Linked DNA regions of Pelodiscus sinensis. The protein of the gene in region 2 interacts with the protein of the main gene of each other region in a pairwise test. Links are inferred from orthologs where the notes say so. Each region holds a gene or a part of one and is shown on either strand. Other genes may lie near its edges.

Region 1 (10,479 bases), about 53 Mb from region 2:
AGCCAGTGCCTCAGGATACAATCTGAGCAAGTACCACGGATAGCTTCTGCTGAACCCTGATACCTTTCAGCTGTGGAAACAGTGACCACTTTCACTATTGCAAATGATCTCTTCTATCAGATTACAATGTAAAATAAACAAAAAGGCCATTTACAGACACAAATATAGCACTAAGTATGGCTTTTTTCATCTAACAAACAATAGCTGGAAATAAATTGCAGGGAAAGTAAAATCTTCCCTTGGAACATGGACTCTGAAAAGATTCAGTAGTTATTTATTGGAGCAAAATGCAGGACAATGTAGCACTTTAAAGACTAACAAGATGGTTTATTAGATGATGAGCTTTCGTGGGCCAGACCCACTTCCTCAGATCAAATAGTGGAATTTATAGTTATTTATTGGATTTATCCTTAAAATTCAAGGTCTTGCTTGCTCTATGGACATTAATGATCCCATGTCTCATTTCACAACATAAGGAGTTTGCACACTGTATAAAAGTAGGAAAAACTTGGCAAGGGAGCAAAGTGGAAGGTGTTTTGTACCCTTGAAGCCAGAAATGTTTGCATTTCGGTGATGCTGTACGTATTGTATAGATAAACTATGGAGCATGGAAAACACTTTGGGATGAAAAGTGATGCAACAGAATTAATGCAGGATTCTCTACTGCCTGTAGCTTTGTGCAGTCATCTACAGAGAGCAAAGTGCAACCATTCTGATTACATAGGAACAACTTAACCATGCAGGAGAAGATGGCAGGAACAGGAGTAAGCACTGTGTTTCACTTATCCACACAATGAAACTCCTCTGGCTCACAGCACAAGAATCCTCTCTGAAAAGCCACAAGTCCTTCCCTACTTCCTTCTGCATCATAAACCACATTAATGCCCTCTCCCTACCTAGACTCTACTGCTTCTGGCAGAACCCTCTTGCCTCTCAAAGAGGACATTGGGAAGAGAAAGGATAAGCTGTGAAGTGTATGAGAATCTGAGGGAGACTATGTCTGTAGGTGGGGATCAGGGGATATGGGGCAGTGAGAGATCTGAGGGGAAGTGGATATCTCTTGCTGTAAGTAATGGGGGAACTCTGAGGAGCAGAGGGATCCAGGCAGAGGAGAAGCAGCTCAAGACACAAGTGGAGAGAACATGGGGGTTGGGAAGCACTAGAGTTTCTTTACCTTCTCTACCCAACAAATCTCCCATTTGGAGCTTTGCATGTTACGTAACCCAAGTATATATTGCTTCCTCCTTCCCCTTCTCCAGCAGCCTGTGCTGCTCCTCAGCTCTTCCATTCTGTTATTTGTCCTCCATCAATGTTGTCCCTTCTTGGCCTACCACATGCCTAGGGCTCATAGGGCAAGCATAAGACCCCAGAGACACCCTTTATGGTTCCTGGAGATGTCAGAGGGCTCAGTGGAGGGTTGATACACTTACTGGCAACGCCATACTCCTGTACACCTTCTAAGCTCCACTGGAGACAGGTTGCTTGCCTAAGACAAGTGTACATTAGTGGGGCTTCCCAACTCAGATGGCAGGAATTCACAAGGAAGGGGGGGGGGGAGGGAAGAGATCCCCTAAACTTTGCTCCCCGCTCTGCTGTTACAACTCCCCAGTACATATACAAGAATTTAACAAATTCCTGATCAGGCAAACAGGATACTAAAGGCAACCATCCATCACACTTCATTAAGGGCCAGTACTTCTGAGCTGCTGAAAGCACTGAGTATCTGACAGGATTAGCCTCTGCCTCATGTGGTAGCTAATTACTTAAGTGTCACTAGACACAGAGCTAATTGTCTCTTACCAGACAATACTATCAGAGAACATACAGGAAAAAAGGAGCTTTTAGTGCTCAAATCACGCTTACTATCTGAGATGTGTGTGACATGAATTATTAAACCTGTGTTCTATGACTCCATTTTTGATACTCTCGTGGAATGAGGAGTAACGGTAGTTCGAACTAGGAAGCCTAGTTCGAACTACCTAGTTCGTGCCCCGTGTAGCCGCGCTGCACAGGGTTCGAACGAGCGGGGTTTTAAAAATGGCGGCGCCCCGCTTATGCAAATGAAGCCTGGGAAATTCAAATCCCTGGCTTCATTTGCAAGTGCGGTATGCCTACATTACCCTCCTGGTTCGAACTAGGAGGGTAGTGTAGACATACCCATATATAGCAACAGAACCAAAACAGTGCCACTGTGGTTAATCAAAAGTAAAAAAGCAGGGAGAATAAAAGGCTTTGTTTAAAAAGTGAAGTTAAAGCTTAGTGAGGAAAATCAAAAGGAACATAAACTCTGGCAACTGAAATGTAAAAATATAATTGGGAAAGCCAAAAAAGGATTTGAAGAACAGATAGCCAAAACCTCAAAATATAGTAGCAAATATTTTTAAATACATCAGAAGCAGGAAACCTGTTGAACAGCCAATAGGGCCACTGGATGATCAAGATGCTAAAGGAGAATTCAAGGATGGTTAGGCTATTGTGGAGAAACTACATGAATTCTTTGCATCAGTCTTCACGGGTAACGCTGTGAGGGAGATTCCAAATCTGAGCCATTCTTTTTAGGTGACAAAACTGTCCCAGATTGAGGTGTCATTAGGGAAGGTTTTGGAACACAATGATAAATTAAACAGTAATAAGTTACCAGGACCAGATGGCATTCACCCAAGAACTCTGAAGGAACTCAAATGTGAAATTGCAGAATTACTTACTGTGGTTTATAACCTATCTTTTAAATCAGTTTCTGTCCCAAATGACCAGAAGTTAGCTAGCACAACACCAATTTTTAAAAAGGGCTCCAGAGGTGATCCTGACAATCAGTGGCCAGTAAGTCTAACTTCAGTACTGGGCAAACTGGTTGAAACTATAGTAAAGAACAGAGTTGTCAAACACACAGATTAACATAATTTGTCGGTGAAGAGTCTACATGGTTTTTGTAAAGGGAAATCATGCCGCACCTATTTACTAGTATTCTTTGAGGGGGTCAAATAAGCATGACAGGATACTGGGCAAGATGGACTTTTCGTCTAACCTTGTGTGGCCATTCTTATGTTCAATATATTATTTTAGTGTCTTATGTACTAGGAAATAGATAGGAAGTGTGAGATCAAATTTATATTTTGATTGCCTTTATCAGATAGTAGCTGATATGGTAAGCTGAAAAGAAGTGCAAAAAAAAAAATCTCCTTTAGATATGTGGGTGTACCTGGTGGGCACATTGATTTGGCATGTGGACTTTGTGAGTATTTGACATTCATGTACAAGGGCCTACTTGACCACTACTGTGACCATATGCTGAAGCGTGAGATTCAGTCACTCACTATCACCTTGCAAAGGAACCAATGATCATAGTGTCTGGTTTGAAATTTGCAAACAGGTAAGAAACAGTGGTCAGATTTTTCTGCTAGTGATACTGCTGCAAGTCTATACTGATCATGTAAATGTTCTTGAGTCTGGATTAACACTGGTGGGTGGAGGAAATCTGGTCCCTGCTTACTAGAAATGGATCCTAGCTGAACCACCCAGTGTGTTCCCTGGTGAACCTCCAATACTCACAGGGCCTTCTCAAGGCCCTGTTGCCTCTAGGAAATCCCCCCAACACTCACCTGTTGTCCCTGGGGAACACTAAGGTGACCACCCATCCCTAACTGGAAAGGACAGAGCTGAAAGGTACATTTCAAGTTGTGGTCCTAGACTGCATGACTCCCTAGGGCATCATTTGTCCTGGATTCCCTTCAGAGCAACTCAGCACATGCCATCCTCTCAGGGGTGAAGTCAGCCTCTTCCTTCTTACCAGAAAGCCCCAAACCTGCTCCTCTTCTTCCCCACAAGACCCTACCCCTGACCCAGCCAGAAGCTGGTGCTGGGCTGTAGTGAGAGCTGCCCAGGGACTGGAGGCCACCATTAGAGGTGCCAGGCATCCAGTTTTTGACAGCAACTCCCAGTCTAAAAAAGACCCTGGAGACTCCAGTCTGCACTGCTGATCAGGCCATTAAAAGTCTGGGAAATGACACAGCAGGGGCCCAGGACTAAGGCTCTCTACCTACCTGCCGTGGCTCCGGGTGGTTCTCAAAAGTGGACACTAGGTCCCTGCAGCCCTTAGGCACAGGAAGGCTCCATGCACTGCACTTACCCCGAGTGCTGGCTTGCAGCTCCCATTGACTGGGAACCATGTCCAATGGGAACTGTGAGGCAGTGTCTGCAGGCATGAGGGCAGCATGTGGAACTTCCCTGACCACTCATGCAGCTAGGGGCTGAGGGACCTGGTGACCGCTTCCTGGGAGCCATGCTAAGCTATATTGGGACCTCTATGTTAAAAAAAAAATAGAAAAAAATAGAAAGTAGCCCAACATCAACAATCTGGCATTTATTAACCAACCTTTCTATAGTAAACCAGGAGCGTTCCCTGACAGAATAGTGAGAGAATGGATTTTTAAAACATACAGTTGGTTTCAGGCTTCAGGGATTGTTACAAACAGCTTAGAGGGATAGAAATTATACTGACCATTCTGAAGAATGCTAAAACTGTTGCTTCCTTTGAAAAAACATAAAGTTCTGTATAAATTTAAAGCATAGGAGGTGTTGCAAACATAGTGCTAACCCATTCTCCAGGGAGCTCTCAGTGCTGGGGGCCAGTTTGTAGTGATCAATCCTCCTTATCCCCCAGCTCAATGTCTGGCAGACTGCAGAATGAACACCTAGTGGGAAATCGAATAGGGACAAAACTATAAACTCAAGCCTACCTTCTGGCTCAGGGTGTATCCTGTGGGCATATTCAGACCTGCACTCAGGGTAGGCTCTGACATCATAATGACAGATGGCTGTAGCTTTTGAGTATATCCTATAGTACAGCTTGTGATGTAGGCAGCTTCTCACCCAGGACTAGCCCCTGTGGTTTGAAATGGCAGGTGTTGCAGCAGTAATCAGTGGAATCCTCAGGATCTGGAGAGAAGGATGTAAAGGAAGGGGTAGCTGATGACCTGCTCCACTTCTTCTGAGACAGTAAAGGTTACTATGTATGAACAACCTAGAAGCATCGAGTTAGCAGATGTGGTGCTGGGATTAGCAGTCAATGTAGCTCAAAACAACACCATGGTTGTTAAAAATGTCTACCATGTTTATACACGACTGAAGAATCAAGTAGCTAACGCAGGGAGATTCTTCACAAATGGGATCATGTACACAACTCTTTGTAAAGTAGGCAAGCCCCAAGACAGCATGATATCAGACAAGCATCATTCCTTATAGCCCAGCCCCGGAAACAGAAATGTCCTTTCCATCTGCATAGGACAGGAATCTTATACCATTCTCTGCAGGATTGTGTGGTTGCCTCTATCAGGGTATGTCTACACTACCACCCTAGTTCGAACTAGGGTGGTAATGTAGGCAACCGGAGTTGCAAATGAAGCCCGGGATTTGAATTTCCCGGGATTCATTTGCATAAAGCCGAGCGCCACCATTTTTAAATGTCTGCTAGTGTGGACTCCGTGCCGCGCGGCTACACGCGGCATGGACTAGGTAGTTCGGACTAGGCTTCAGACTATCGTGAAACGAGGAGTAACGGTAGTTCAGACTAGGAAACCTAGTCCGAACTACCTAGTCCGTGCCGCGTGTAGCCGCGTGGCACGGAGTCCGCAGTAGCGGACATTTAAAAATGGCGGTGCCCGGCTTTATGCAAATGAAGCCCGGAAAATTCAAATCCCGGGCTTCATTTGCAACTCCGGTTGCCTACATTACCACCCTAGTTCGAACTAGGGTGGTAGTGTAGACATACCCCCTGAGACAAGATACTGGGCTAGATGGACCCTTTGTCTGATCCAGTATGGCAATTTCCTATACTTGACAAAGCTCCTTTGGTCTCTTGATTGGCTTTGCTTTCTTTCTTCAATGTGTGTCTTCTTGGAGATGAGCTGGAGCTAAAATAATCTGGTAAGTTTAAGAAGAAAACTGGTTTTCACTTTTGTGTGCAGCGAACAGAGTAGGAATAGGAGGATCTACTTTTTTTGGTTAAAGAAGATGGAAGAAAATGGAAAGCAACCCTTTGGCAAAGAATATTGTATAAGCAGCTCCTCTTAAGGCATAGAAAATACTTTATTTTATCATTCAGAAGTCCCAGTAGCCAGTTTACTGAACTTTTTGGAACATTGTACAAGTTGAACCTCTCTGGTCCAGCAACTTCCGTGGTCCGGCAAGCTTTTAGTTCAACAGATGTTCACTTATCACAAGTATGGCCAAGATTTCCGTGGTCACATAAGATGACACCCACCAGTCTTGACTCTCAGTGTTCTGTGCTGTTATTTAGCTCTAATTTACCCCTAAATGTCTTCTAAGAGCCCAGTAAGCTGTGGAAGTGCTGGTAATGCTGCTAGACAATATTGACCTCCCGTGGTTCGGCAAATTCAAGGCCCGAGGATACCAGACTAGAGAGGTTCAACTTGTATTACTTTTTACCTATCTGGACTGGTGAAGTACATTTTAGTGTTTATTTGCTAGGGCCTGCACAGGTTTGGAAACACCAAGTCCTCTGGCTTGTATTTCCGTGCAGTGTCGATATGCCTTAAGGGCACAGAACATGAACTTACAAGCATATGATTAAATATTTTTAAACCCTGGGAAAGTAAGAAGCAAAAGTGGCGACGTGGCAACATTTTTGATGGCAAAAGTGGCGATGTGGCAAAGAATAGGAACATGTGAGGAGGATTTCTTCCAGGTTATTCAAGAGAACTCAAGAAATTGTGCCTTTCACATGATTTTGAAACAACATTGACCAAACTGACAGCCGTACTGCAGGCTTCAGCACTGAATGGCTGCAGGGAGATTCCACAGCAACTTTTCCAGCTCTCTGTTCCACATAGGTACATTCTGGCTCTTTTCTTTTCTGCCTTGCTCGTTTGGGAATGCTCCATTCTTGTGGCTTGCTGAAGGGGATGTTTTCATTCTTCATTTCAGGACTTTGCAACTTTTGTCCTCCCATAACCCAAAAGCTACTGCTAAATTTCTCCCCATATCAGGTGCAACTCAGTGGAAAGGGGAAAAGGTCAGAGCATAGAAAAAGCAGAACCATGGCTCCAAAACCAAGCAGAACTCTGGAGAGCAGAGAAGAAAAAGCCCTATAAGGAGGTGCTGGAGATTTCTCTGCCCACAGCACAAGGAGGCATTCTGCCTCTCTGAGCCATAATGCCTCCTAGTGCTGCTCCAGGTTAACACAGCTGCACATCTCCCCTTCCTAAGGGCTCTGAGCTATTAGCATCATCTAGCCTATACGGCTGAAGTGGATCAATCAATGGGAAAAAAGAATTTTAGCAGATCTGAATGGCAAGTAGAAAATCATCTGTCTCTGGGTAGCAATAAATTAGGCACCCTGGCAGATGTATCTTCTTAGGTCACAGCCATTTCAAACCCTCCATTAACTAATGTGGAAAGATCAAAGATAGCAAAGAAAGCTGGCAGAATTTAAATTGTCACCCATCCTGCTTAGAACTGAATGAGTTTAATGTGCCATAATGCATTTTAATAAATGGAAACAGAAAAAGGAATGATCATTTCTCATAAAAAAGAATTTTTCTGATACTTATAGGAAAATCATTTAAAGGAAGAAAAGTATCTTAAATTCAATCAAGAGAAAACTTACTATACAAAGTCAAATGTATCCCCACATACATGCAGGGGTTCCATTTAGAGTGCCTAGGGGGCTGCAGCCCCTGAAGTTTGAATCCCTATATTTGATACTTGTAGTCTGCTTAAAGTACCTGCTGTAGCCCCAGATAGAGTTCTTAACTTTGCCAGCTTTGCCTTTTGGGGCAGGGAGTTTGTTTATGAACAGAGGGCAACAGGATGATTAAGGTAACAAAAGGCTTATCATTCAAGTAACTGAAGGATCATTAGATGATCACGTGAACTAGTGCTGTTCAACTTATTTATAAATTATCTTGAAAAAAAGGGTAAACAGTGAGGTAGCAAGATTTGTAGTTAATACAAAAATATCAGTCCAAAGTGGATTGCAAAGAGTTCCAAAGGGATCTCGCAACTCTAGGTGATTAGTCAACATAAACGCAGTTGGAATTCAGTGTTAATAAATGCAAAGTAATGCACATAAGCTACATCTAGGCTGCGTCTAGACTGGCATGATTTTGCGGAAATACTTTTAACAGAAAAGTTTTTCCGTGAAAAGTATTTCTGCAAAAGAGCATCTAGATTGGCACTGATGCTTTTGCACAAAAAGTGCTTTTGCGCAAAAGCATCCATGCCCAGTGTAGATGCGCTTTTGTGCAAGAAAGCTTCAATGGCTATTTTAGCCATCGGGCTTTCTTGCACAAAAAATTAAGGTGCCTGTCTACACTGGCCCTCTTGTGCAAGTATTCTTGCGCAATAGGGCTTATCCCTGAGCGGGAGCGTCAAAGTATTTGCGCAAGAAGCACTGATTTTGTACATTACAAAGTCAGTGCTCTTGCGCAAATTCAAGTGGCCAGTGTAGACAGCTGGCAAGTTTTTGCGCAAAAGTGGCCGCTTTTGCGCAAAATCTTGCCAGTCTAGATGCACCCCTAGATTGTAGAGTTAAATCGGAAAGAGATTTCTGATTTACTTTAGAAAGAGGCTTTTCTGAAATTTGGCATATCTACGTGGTGCCAAATTTAGGAAAAAACTGCTCTTTCGACACATCTTTTATGCCTTGCAGAATGAGTTTTACAGGGATGGTGAAAGAGCGTGTCTGCTTTTTCGAAATTCTTTTCAGAAAAGCGGACACATTCCTTGGACACCACATTGCTCTTCTGGGATACCTCTGGTATCCCGGAAAAGCAATGCAGTCTAGATGTGGCCATAGATAAATATAATTCCAGCTATACATAGAAAATGATGGGGGTCTGAATTAGCTGTTACAACTCAAAAAAGAGATCTTGGAATCATTGTGGATAGTTCCCTATAAACATCTGCTCACTGTGAAGTGATAATCTAAAAAGCTAAGAGAGGATCTTATTCCTACTTTGAAGTACCTGGCATTGGCCACTGTTGGCAGATGGGATACTGGTTTAGATGGACTACTGGGTCTGACCCAGTATGGCTGATCTGATGTTCTTATATAGAGCCCAAATGTATCTGCCCCCTGTTGTAAACCTCTAGACCCTACTCCCCTCTCAGAGCTAAGATAGAATCCCGGAGTCCCTAACAGACTCTCTTTCACTCTCTCCCCCTCTCTCTCAACAGAGTTAGTAACATAATAAGAATATACATTAAAATTTTAAGTCTAATCAGTGTCCCTTAAGTGACTTACCATAAGATGTCAGAAATATTCATTTCAGAGGGGTAGCCGAGTTAGTACGTAACAGGAAAAACTTTAAAAAATAACGAATAGTCTAGTAGCACCTTAAAGACTAACATCTGTGGTCATCTGAAGAAGTGGGTTTTGCCCACGAAAGCTCATGATACCATCAACATGTTTTGTTAGTTTTTAAGGTGCTACTAGACTAGTCGTTATTTTTTAAGAAATATTAGTATTAGAGCTGAGTGGGTCTTAATATTTATTTAAAAGTGGCGAGGAGTCCTGTGGCACCTTAGGGTACGTCTAAACTACATGGCTCCGTCGACGGAGCCATGTAGATTTGTTGTTTTGGCAAAGGCAAACGAAGCCACGATTTAAATGATCGCGGCTTCATTTCAATGTACATGGCTGCCGCGCTGAGCCGACAAACAGCTGATCAGCTGTTTGTCCGCTCAGCGCGCTAGTCTGGACGCTCCCCTGCCGACATCAAAGCCCTTTGTCGGCAGCCCCGGTAAACCTCATCCCACGAGGAATAACGGGGCTGCCGACAAAGGGCTTTGATGTCGGCAGGGGAGCGTCCAGACTAGCGCGCTGAGCGGACAAACAGCTGATCAGCTGTTTGTCGGCTCAGCGCGGCAGCCATGTAAATTTAAATGAAGCTGCGATCATTTAAATTGTGGCTTCATTTGCCTTTGCCTATGTGTCTAATCTACATGCCTCTGACGACAGAGGCATGTAGTCTAGACACAGCCTTATAGACTAACCGAAGTGTTGGAGCATAAGCTTTTGTGGGCAAAGACCCTTTTCGTCAGATGCATCTGACGAAGGTGCCACAGGACTCCTTGCTGCTTTCGCAGATTCAGACTAACATGGCTACCCCTCTGATACTCAATATTTATTTAATTTTCTTTTTTATATGGGAGTTAGATGCAGTGCTCCTATCAGCTAATTGCTAAGTTATCTGCCAAAAAACCTAGAGTTTTCAAGTGCCTTAGTAGCTCTTAGAAAGAGATGATGATGATGATGATGATGATGTGTGTGTATGTGTGGGAGGGTGGATGGGGAGGAATCCCACTCCCTGATTTGCTGCTTGGCTTGTGCTGAGCATGCTCAGTAACACTGCTGTAGCGGCTGTACTCACTTTGCCCCCTTCCCATGTCCTCATTGTGTCCTCCTCTGCAGTATCTCAGTCTGCACAGGTTGCTCCCTACCCCCAAAATCTGAACAGG
Region 2 (10,203 bases):
GGCACTTACAATCGATCGTAGCACATGACAGAGTCCAAGGTATGTTCTCCTTCTTTCAGTTCTTTCCCTCCTACCACGAAAATGGAGTTTTCGGCCTCACCCAGGCCGAAGAGGCAGCGGGGGGAAGGGAGAGGGGGCATGCCCAGCCAGTCAGAGTCCAGATGATCGTACTGCAAGGAAACAAAGAGCCGTGAAGGTATAGCGTGCGCTGTGCTAGCCCCTCTCTGGCACGTGAAGAGTGAATTTGCTTATGCAGTCAATTTACTTAATTAAAATAAAATACCAGGGCCGGGTGCGCAGTGGCAAAGTGCTGAGTCTGTTCCTATCCGTACCAAAATCTTTACCTAGCTTTGCAGCCCCCGGTCAGAGATTCACTGTGGGTCCTTTCCTGATTTGATTCCTTCCGCTCCAGTGGTATCCACCTGCTGGCTCTTGTTGGATACTTAACTTGGACAGGGATTGTCTTTTTGTGCTGGGTATGTACCGCACCTAGCATAGTGGGGTCCTATTCCTTGATGGGGGGTTCCTCCGTGGATGGCAATACAATGGACAAATGATAACAGGACCCAAGTGACTGTAGGAACAGCTGCTGTATTTTTCATGGGCAGCCTAAGCTCCGGTGTGCTTCACAAGCAGCCTTGGCAACTACAAGTTGAGGGCTACAAATGGTGGCATGTGGAGAGAACTTCCTAATTCCTGCCAGGGCATCCTGACTTAGCACGGACAGAGCTGGGGGCACTTAGACTGCAAGTGGAGAGGAGGCTGCTGAACTGTAATTCTGTTCTGTGTTCCTTACAGAATAAAGCCTGCTGCTGGTGGTTTGTCTGAGGGTACGTCTACACAGCAACATTATTTTGAAATAACTAACATCATAACTAGCATTATTTTGAAATAACTTTAGTCCGCGTCTACCCGGCAGAAAGTTATTTTGAAATAATGTTGAAATGCTGTCAAGCTGGAGGACTTCTCACGCCAACTCCTGTAACCCTCATTGTACGAGGAGTAAGGGAAGTCAGAGGAAGCGTGTACAAGAACCCTTATTCCTCAAAAATAAGGGATTTCAAAAAGGAATAAGGGTTCTTGCGCAAAAGGGTTTTTTTTCCAGAAAATGGCCCCGTCGAAGGGCTTTTTTGTGCAAAAACCTCTTTCGCAAAAAGGATCGGAAGAGACTATGCAAATGAGAGCTCGAGATTTGTACGTGAGCACTCCATTTGCATTTCCTCGTCTGAAAAACTGCAGCAGTGTTGACATAGCCCTAGTGTGGGTCACTGTCCCACGTAGCGGCAGGATGATCACTTAGAGCAAGAGATAAAAACAAGTGAGTGCTACAGCCTAACCTCTACAGCCAGCTGTAGAGATGCCTAGACTAAGCTCTAAAGGTCCCAGGTTCAAATTCTCCTGGTGGTGGGTACACTTGTTCCTGAGCCCAGCGGGTACCCAATTGGCTCACAATATGAACATTTCCTGCTTATCCTGTGCAGGTGTCTAAGCCAAAGTGAGTGGAAAATTATGCCCATCGGGGGAGGGGCTGGCTGTTGTTTCACCCTCTCTGCTTTGTGCAGCTGAATTAGACACAATGACTTCTCTCATGATGAGCTTGGTTCCCTTTCCTTAGGGGTGGGGCAACCTTTTTTGGGTTGGGGGGGCTGCTGACCCACAGAAAAATCAGTCGGGGGGGCGGTGCACAAAAGTGAAAAGCAAAACAAAAAACACAGCCCCCATATCCCCCCCACGCACCCCACGTTAGGTTAGGCCTGGGTCAACTCCCCCCTGCTGCAGGCCCTGCCCCACCTCTGCTCCACCCTGCCCCCTCCCCCAAACCGCCTGGCCCAAGGGATCACCTAGTGCAGCGACAGCGCCCCTCCCCCACAGTCAGCATGGAGGCGGGAGCCAGAGTGGCCTGGCAGCCTGTTCCCCACCGCTGTGCCGCCCACACTTCACGGCACGTGCCGCGGGCCGGCAGAGGGCAGCGGGGCGGAGCAGAGCAGGCTGCGGGGCTGCTCCAGCTCTCGTTGCTGTGGTTAATGTGGAGGGAGGAAGCCCCTGCTGCTCCCACACCAGACCCCCCCCCCCGTGGGTCCCGTCCATAGGACGATTGGGGTAGGCCATCGCAAGGCCCCCGAAAGCATGGAGCTAGTTCAGCTCGCTAGCTCCTTCCTCCCCAGCGGATTATACGTCTTTGGTTACTTCTGGGGTTCAACGTCCACCCAGGGCACAATTCCCTAGGGACAATTCTCTTGTGACCGCAGTGAATGGCACCGCCAGCAGGGCGTTCAGTGGCAGAAGACAGATGGATGTGACAGAGAACAGAAGGCTGAAAAATCAAACAGTTCTTAGCCCAGAGCCAGCACGCAAGATAACGCCGGCGGAGAGGGACAAACCAACGTTGAATTAAAAACCTCCCTGATTGATTTCAAAGCCAGCAGAGACTAGTGTGATAATCTAGTCTGACCTCCTCATGGCACAGGCCAAAGCGACACACAGTGATCACTGCATGAGCCCCATTTGGAAATTCCAAACTTGTTACGGCACAGTTATTAGTACCCCTAGCTAACTAACCTCATACACTCTATCTATATCACAGCACAACCACCCCTGACAGATTTTGCCCCAGATCCCTAAATGGCCCCCTCAAGGGGTTGAACTCACAGCCCTAGGTTTGGCAGGCCAATGCTCAAACCACCAAGCTATGCCTCCCCTGACACAGTTGTCAGTACCTCTAGTTAGCTAGCTAGTTATCCTCATACACTCTATCTATCTGTCTGTCTATCTTCATATACTACATGTATCTAGCTATCTAGCTAACTAGCTATCCTCATACACTGCATCTATCTATCACAGAATTTTCTATACATACTGATCACTCGGTATCTAAATATTTTCATGGCCTGCATATTACTATGTAACAACTCATTGATGTAATACATACCAGTGAGCAAAATCCAACCAGTCTCTACAATCTCTGACAGAGCAAAAAAATGCGTGTGGCATACATTTTTATAAGGGATACGCAAGCCAAACACAATAACACACATGGCGGTGAGTTTCATTGGCTTTGTGCTATACAAAAGCTAAAAATTAGTGACCATTCTAGTGGGCCATAGTAACAAAAGAGTGACAAAGTCGGTACCTGTAAGAAGTAGGAGCTCATGGGGTCCTCTTTGTTGTCCTCGTTGTAATACAGTCCACCTGCTATGAAGATCTGGTTCTCTTTGGTTACCAGGCTGACGTGATTCTTTGGGATCTGAGACGAGATGGAGGCAAAGTAGCATTCGTTAGCGCTGGGGTCATAGGCCACTGCCCCGGTACTGCTAACCATGAAGATGAGGTCCTGGAGGAACATCCCAAAGCGCATTGTGTCATTCAAGATCCCTGGGAGCATGTCCTCCTCGATATCGTCCCCCTCTTCCACATCTCCATTGACGATGCTGTCCCCATCTTTCTTCTCATCGCTTTTCTTCGCCACCTTCTTTTTCACCACTGTGAGTTTTCCTTCGTTGGCATCCTTCACCATCTGGATTTTCTTGAGCAGCTCCGGGCTGGATTTCACAATGGGATGCTTCTCCACATGGTCCTTGAGGTATTCCTTGGGCATGAGGCGGAAGCGGATGCTCTCAAAGACCACCGGCAAGGCCTGAAGCCGACTCTCGCGGTCCTTGGCAGCCGCCCATTTCATCACCACCTCGAAGACGGCCTCCTCCTTCTCAATGTTGAGAGAGTCGCTGGAGATCACAGCGATGAGCTCATCGGGGGAGAACTGGTAGAACTCCTCGTCCCGGGAGATCAGGACAAAACGGTCGCAGATGAAGTCCCGGGCAGCCACTGCCAGGCGGGCGCAGTCCAGCATCAAGCCCAACCTGAAGACGGCCAGGCAGTTGCTGAGACAGAGGCGCTTCTGCAGGAAGGAGACGCAGACTGTGAAGATGGAGGGGATCTGGAACATGTTGGCCACAGAGAAAATGTCCTGCACGTTCTGCTCCGTGATCTCCAGCTCGGAGGTGTAGATGTAATGGAGGATCTTGTGCATGACTTCGGGGTCCACATCCTCCAGGTTGATCTCCCTCTTCTTGCTCTCCTCCATGTCCGAAAGGAACATGGCCCGGAAATAGGGGCTGCAGGCGGCCAGCACCAACCGGTGGCAGGGGAATTCCTTCCCCTTGACTTTCAAGACACAATCCAGGAACTTGTTGTGGTCCAGCATATCTTTGAGCCCGTCCTGGAGAAGCGTCTGCTGGTAGAGACGCAGCTCCTCTGCTTGATCTATCGGCAGCGTCATGCTCGAAAGTAGCGGCTAGTTTGCGCTTCTTTGTTTTTCTTATCCCTCGGCAGAGAGACTTACCCGAACCTGGGCGTGCGGCTCTCCCCTGCTTCCCGGGAGCTGGGCGTGCTAAGAATGTGAAGCACTTGCTGCTAATACGAGGAGCTGTATGTCCCAGCCTCAGCGAGGGGCTTTATATATAACCACAGCCTGACAGAGCATGTGTAAGCCGATCACCCTCTAACATGACACATTGGACAACCAGGCTGAGGGAACAGCTGTACGATAGCCTGGAATGGTGACAGCCCATGAATCAGTGCTACAGGATCTGGGCTTTTCCGGAAGGCCAGCGTGTGACCAGCTGCCTTCGTCATAGGTGAAATGACTTTTCCTTCAGATGGATCAGAAAGGGGAAAAAAACCTACCCCCTCGCTGGTGAATGGGTTATCCTCCCCCTTCCTCTCTTCAACAGCCAGTGCTGGACTCACCCAGCTAAAAATACGCAATGAAGCTAAATCTTTAAATACGCAACGAGGTATCGAATTGTACTGTCATTGTGATGCAGCCAAAGCTATGCCGGTCATTTGGAGGGATAATTTTTCTGGGGGTGCTGGAGGAGAACGGGAGATAATCCCATGATCGGCTCCTGAGTAAGTGTTTTACATGCTCGGCTGTGCATCATGGGCTCTCTACTGGAAGCAGCTAAAGGAGATTCTCCTAGCGCACATGTGGTAGAGGCCTGTGATTTTGGAGCATGAGGATCTGGGGGTCTGTTCTGTCTGTGATATTTATATAGAACCCCATCCCTGTCGTGTCTGAGCCCCTCACAGTTTTAATGTATTTATCCTCCCTCCCCCTCTGGGAGGCAGGAGGGGGCTACTATCCCCATTGTACGGATGTGGAACTGAGGCACAGAGAAGTTAACTGATTTGTCCAAAGCCACATAGGGAGCCTGGTGAAGCAGGGACATGAGGCTGACATCCTGTCCACTGGTCCATCTTCCTTCTCTATTGCCCACTATTTCCCACTGTCTAGAGCTGGCTGAAAAAAAATCACCAATTTTCAATGGAGACGTTTATAGAAACTTCTGAGAAAGAGGATCCAGGTTTGGGGCCAGCTCTGTTGCTGCCTGTGTGACATTCCCAATGGCCAGGGGATGTAGCATCACGACACCTGTTATTATTACAATACTAAAGTACAATTGTGACAACTCAAAAAAGCTCCCAGGCACATTTCACAAGTGACGAGCCAGGCAGGGAACCTTTATGTTCACCCTGTTTCGTTAGTGTTTATATTTAGACATCAACGTTTCAGTAACAAAGGACAATCCCTCCCCCTACTCTTTTCCCTCCCCCTCCCAGTAAATATTAATAGTGCATCTACATTATAAGGAAACCCAGGCGTTGATCCAGATTTGAACCCTACCCGCTTTCCCAGCCACGCAGAAGATCCTTTGACCTAGGTTTGCAGGTGGTTTACACCTGAGCTAGCTTAGCCAGCAGGGTGTCGAGTTAGAACCTGGCTCTGCTTTACCTCTGTAGCCTGGGACCTGCCTACTTTGCGGGGAGGATGCAGGATAAGTCTCTGGAGCCCTGATGGTTCTCCAGTGTCTTCCCACAATCCCCCCAAAAGACAGGCAAGTTTGCTGGCAATTATCACAAGACTCTGAGAACAAGGAGCCTGGGGACATGACTCTAGAACACACTGGAGCCTGCAGAAACAGTGAAGGTGCAGTCATCTGGGCTGGGCGTGGCATTGGCGTTGCTCACCCCTGGGCTAAGCGCACCTCTGTGCTCAGCCTAGTGCGAGTTCTGATGGGTTTGATCACAGAGATCCCCTGGAGATGGTCACCTGATGGGCTGATCATACCACCTACCTGTCCTCGGGGGCGCCCTGCCACCCCGTCCTTCTGAGCCAGACCCTCTGGTCACCTCCAGCAAAGGCACAGAGGTGGGGTCACCGCCCACAGCAGAGCAACGCAGACACGAAGAGCAGCTCAACTCTGGGTGGGCTTAGTCACGGAGACTTGACACAGCACCCAGGTGCACTTCCCCAATGGGATCAGAACCCCAGCTAAATCCATCTGACTCTGCACAGCAGTTTTATACAGAAGGGCTGTGTCTGGCTAACCTTGTGAGGAGGGCTTTAAACTAGGTTTGTCGGGGGCAGGTGAGCAAAGCCCACAGGTAAGTGCTGAATGTGCGGGACTGGGAGATGGGTTGGAAATGGGGGGGACTACGGCCTATAATGGCAAGGAGAAAGGAGGGTCAGGGCACAACAGGGAGGCAAGATCAAATCAGTATCTTAGATGCCTATATACAAATGCGAGAAGTATGGGTAATAAGCAGGAAGAACTGGAATTGCTAACCAATAAATACAACTATGATATCATTGGTATTACAGAAACCTGGTGGGATGGGACGCATGATTGGAATGTTGGTATGGAAGGGTATGGCTTGCTCAGGAAGGACAGACAGGGAAAAAAGGGAGGAGGGGTTGCCTTGTATATTAAAAATGTACACACTTGGACTGAAGTGGAGATGAATGTAGGAGATAGCTGTGTAGAGAGTCTCTGGGTTAAGCTAAAAGGGGTAAAAAACGAGGGTGATATCATGCTAGGAGTCTACTACAGGCCACCTAGCCAGGTGGAAGAGGTGGATGAGGCCTTTTTTAAACAATTAACAAAACTATCCAAAGCCCAAGATTTGGTGGTGATGGGGGACTTCAACTATCCAGACATATGTTGGGAAACTAACACAGCGAGGCACAGGCTATCCAATAAGTTTCTGGACTGCATTGGAGACAACTTTCTGTTTCAGAAGGTTGAAAAAGCTACCAGAGGAGAAGCTGTTCTGGATTTGGTTTTAACAAATAGGGAGGAACTAGTTGAGAACTTGAAAGTGGAAGACAGTATAGGGGACAGTGATCACGAAATAATAGAGTTCATGATCTTAAGGAAAGGTAGAAGGGAGACCAGCACAATTGAGGTAATGGATTTCAGGAAGGCAGATTTTGATAAGCTCAGAGAACTTGTAGGTAAGGTCCCATGGGAAGCAAGACTGAAGGGAAAAACAACTGAGGAGAGTTGGAAGTATTTCAAAGGGACGTTGTTAAGGGCCCAAAAGCAAACAATTCCGCTGTGTAGGAAAGATAGAAAATATGGCAAAAGACCAGCTTGGCTTAACAAGGAGATCTTGCACAATCTCAAAATAAAAAAGGAGTCTCATAAAAAATGGAAACTAGGACAAATAACAAAGGATGAATATAGGCAAGCAACACGGGAATGCAGGGGCAAGATTAGAAAGGCAAAGGCACAAAATGAGATCAAATTAGCTACAGGCATAAAGGGAAACAAGAAGACCTTTTATAAATACATTAAAAGCAAGAGGAAGACCAAGGACAGGGTAGGCCCACTGCTTAGTGAGGAGGGAGAAGCAGTAACAGGAAACTTGGAAATGGCGGAGATGCTCAATGACTTCTTTGTTTCGGTCTTCACCGAGAAGTCTGGAGGTGTGCCTAACGTAGTGAATACAAGCAGAGAGAGGGTAAGTTTAGAAGATAGGATACACAAAGAACAAGTTAAAAATCACTTAGGAAAGTTAGATGTCAGCAAGTCACCAGGTCCTGATGAAATGCATCCCAGGATACTCAAGGAGCTGATAGAGGAGGTATCTGAGCCTTTAGCTATGATCTTTGAAAAATCATGGCAGACAGGGGAGATTCCAGAAGACTGGAAAAGGGCAAATATTGTGCCCATCTATAAAAAGGGGAATAAGAACAACCCAGGAAACTATAGACCGGTCAGTTTAACGTCTGTCCCAGGGAAGATAATGGAGCAGGTAATTAAGGAAATCATATGCAAACACTTGGAAGGTAATAAAGTGATAGGGAATAGCCAGCATGGGTTTGTGAAGAACAAGTCATGCCAAACTAATCTGATAGCTTTCTTTGATAAGATAACAAGCCTTGTGGATAAGGGAGAAGCGGTGGATGTCATATACCTAGACTTTAGTAAGGCATTTGATACGGTCTCGCATGATATTCTTATTGATAAACTAGGCAAATATAACTTAGATAGGGCCACGATAAGGTGGGTGCATAATTGGCTGGATAACCGTAGTCAGAGAGTGGTTGTTAACGGTTCTAAATCCTGCTGGAAAGGGATAACAAGTGGAGTTCCTCAAGGGTCTGTTTTGGGACCCATACTGTTCAATATCTTCATCAATGATGTAGATATTGGGATAGAGAGTACGCTTATTAAGTTTGCAGATGATACCAAACTGGGTGGGGTTGCGACTTCTTTGGAGGATAGGGACATAATTCAGAATGACCTTAGCAAGTTAGAGAAATGGTCGGAGGTAAACAGGATGAGGTTTAATAAAGAGAAATGCAAAGTGCTCCACTTAGGAAGGAACAATCCGTTCCATACATACAAGATGGGAAGCGACTGTCTAGGAAGGAGCATGGCGGAAAGGGATCTAGGGGTCATAGTGGACCACAAGTTGAATATGAGTCAACAGTGTGATGCTGTTGCAAAAAAAGCAAATATGATTCTAGGTTGTATCAACAGGTGTGTTGTAAGCAAAACTCGTGAAGTCATTCTGCCGCTCTACTCTGCACTAGTTAGGCCTCAGCTGGAGTACTGTGTCCAGTTCTGGGCGCCACATTTCAAGAAAGATGTGGAGAAATTGGAAAGGGTACAGAGAAGAGCGACAAGAATGATTAAAGGTTTAGAGAACATGACCTATGAAGCCAGGCTTCATGAACTGGGCTTGTTTAGTTTGGAAAAAAGAAGATTAAGGGGGGACATGATAGCGGCTTTCAAATATCTAAAAGGGTGTCACAAGGAGGAAGGAGAAAATTTGTTCCTCTTGGTTTCTGAGGACAGGACAAGGAGTAATGGGCTTAAAGTGCAGCAGGGGAGGTTTAGATTGGACATTAGGAAAAAATTCCTAACTGTCAGGGTGGTCAAATATTGGAATAAATTGCCAAGGGAGGTGGTGGAATCTCCCTCTCTGGAGATATTTAAGAACAGGTTAGATAGACATCTGTCAGGGATGGTGTAGACGGAGCTTGATCCTGCCTTGAGGGCGGGGGGCTGGACTCGATGACCTCTCGAGGTCCCTTCCAGTCCTATGATTCTATGATTCTATGATTCTATGATTCTACACTGCACCCTTTTTCCGGAAAAGGGATGCAGATGAGACAAGTCGGAATAGCAAATGCAGCGGGGATTTAAATTTTCCCCGCTCCATTTGCATGAACATGGCTGCCGCTTTTTTCCGACTCGGGGCTTTGCCGGAAAAAAGTGCCAGTCTAGACAGGGATCTTTCGGAAAATAAAGCCTTTTCTGAAAGGTCCCTTATTCCTCTTAAAATCAGGAATAAGGAATCTGAAGGGTAACAACACTTTTATCCCCCCTGCCTCAATAACAGAGAGACTGGGGATCCCACAGTGGCCAAAGTGACCATTTGGGCTGCTGTGAGCACATACTAGACAGGGTGGGTGTGTCTATGCAAATTGGGCTCAGCCCCTGAAGTCTCTTTGTACCACTTGCCACAGTTCACAACCAGATGTCAGGGTAGAGTTTACCTTGACCCCGCTTACACTTGCACTGAGTTTCATAATAAATGAAAGTGATTGTATTAAATAGAATCATAGAATCATAGAATCATAGGACTGGAAGGGACCTCGAGAGGTCATCGAGTCCAGCCCCCCGCCCTCAAGGCAGGATCAAGCTCCGTCTACACCATCCCTGACAGATGTCTATCTAACCTGTTCTTAAATATCTCCAGAGAGGGAGATTCCACCACCTCCCTTGGCAATTTATTCCAATATTTGACCACCCTGACAGTTAGGAATTTTTTCCTAATGTCCAATCTAAACCTCCCCTGCTGCACTTTAAGCCTATTACTCCTTGTCCTGTCCTCAGAAACCAAGAGGAA

The links. The genes of interacting proteins can lie anywhere in the genome.
Region 1: the proteins of KLHL40 (region 2) and SPMIP4 interact in a two-hybrid assay, tested with the Homo sapiens proteins (2 studies listed by BioGRID and IntAct). The two-hybrid records come from large-scale screens. The link is inferred for Pelodiscus sinensis from reciprocal best matches to the Homo sapiens genes KLHL40 and SPMIP4.

The regions. Positions count from the first base shown.
Region 1 is NC_134712.1:197,997,431-198,007,909, reverse strand, and holds the start of SPMIP4 (sperm-associated microtubule inner protein 4), read right to left. Parts: upstream 4,785-10,479; 5' UTR 4,737-4,784; intron 1-4,736. UniProt on the Homo sapiens protein: Microtubule inner protein (MIP) part of the dynein-decorated doublet microtubules (DMTs) in flagellum axoneme. May serve to reinforce and thus stabilize the microtubule structure in the sperm flagella.
Region 2 is NC_134712.1:251,312,723-251,322,925, forward strand, and holds the start of KLHL40 (kelch-like protein 40), read right to left. Parts: upstream 4,429-10,203; 5' UTR 4,277-4,428; coding exon 3,131-4,276; intron 171-3,130; coding exon 10-170; intron 1-9. UniProt on the Homo sapiens protein: Substrate-specific adapter of a BCR (BTB-CUL3-RBX1) E3 ubiquitin ligase complex that acts as a key regulator of skeletal muscle development.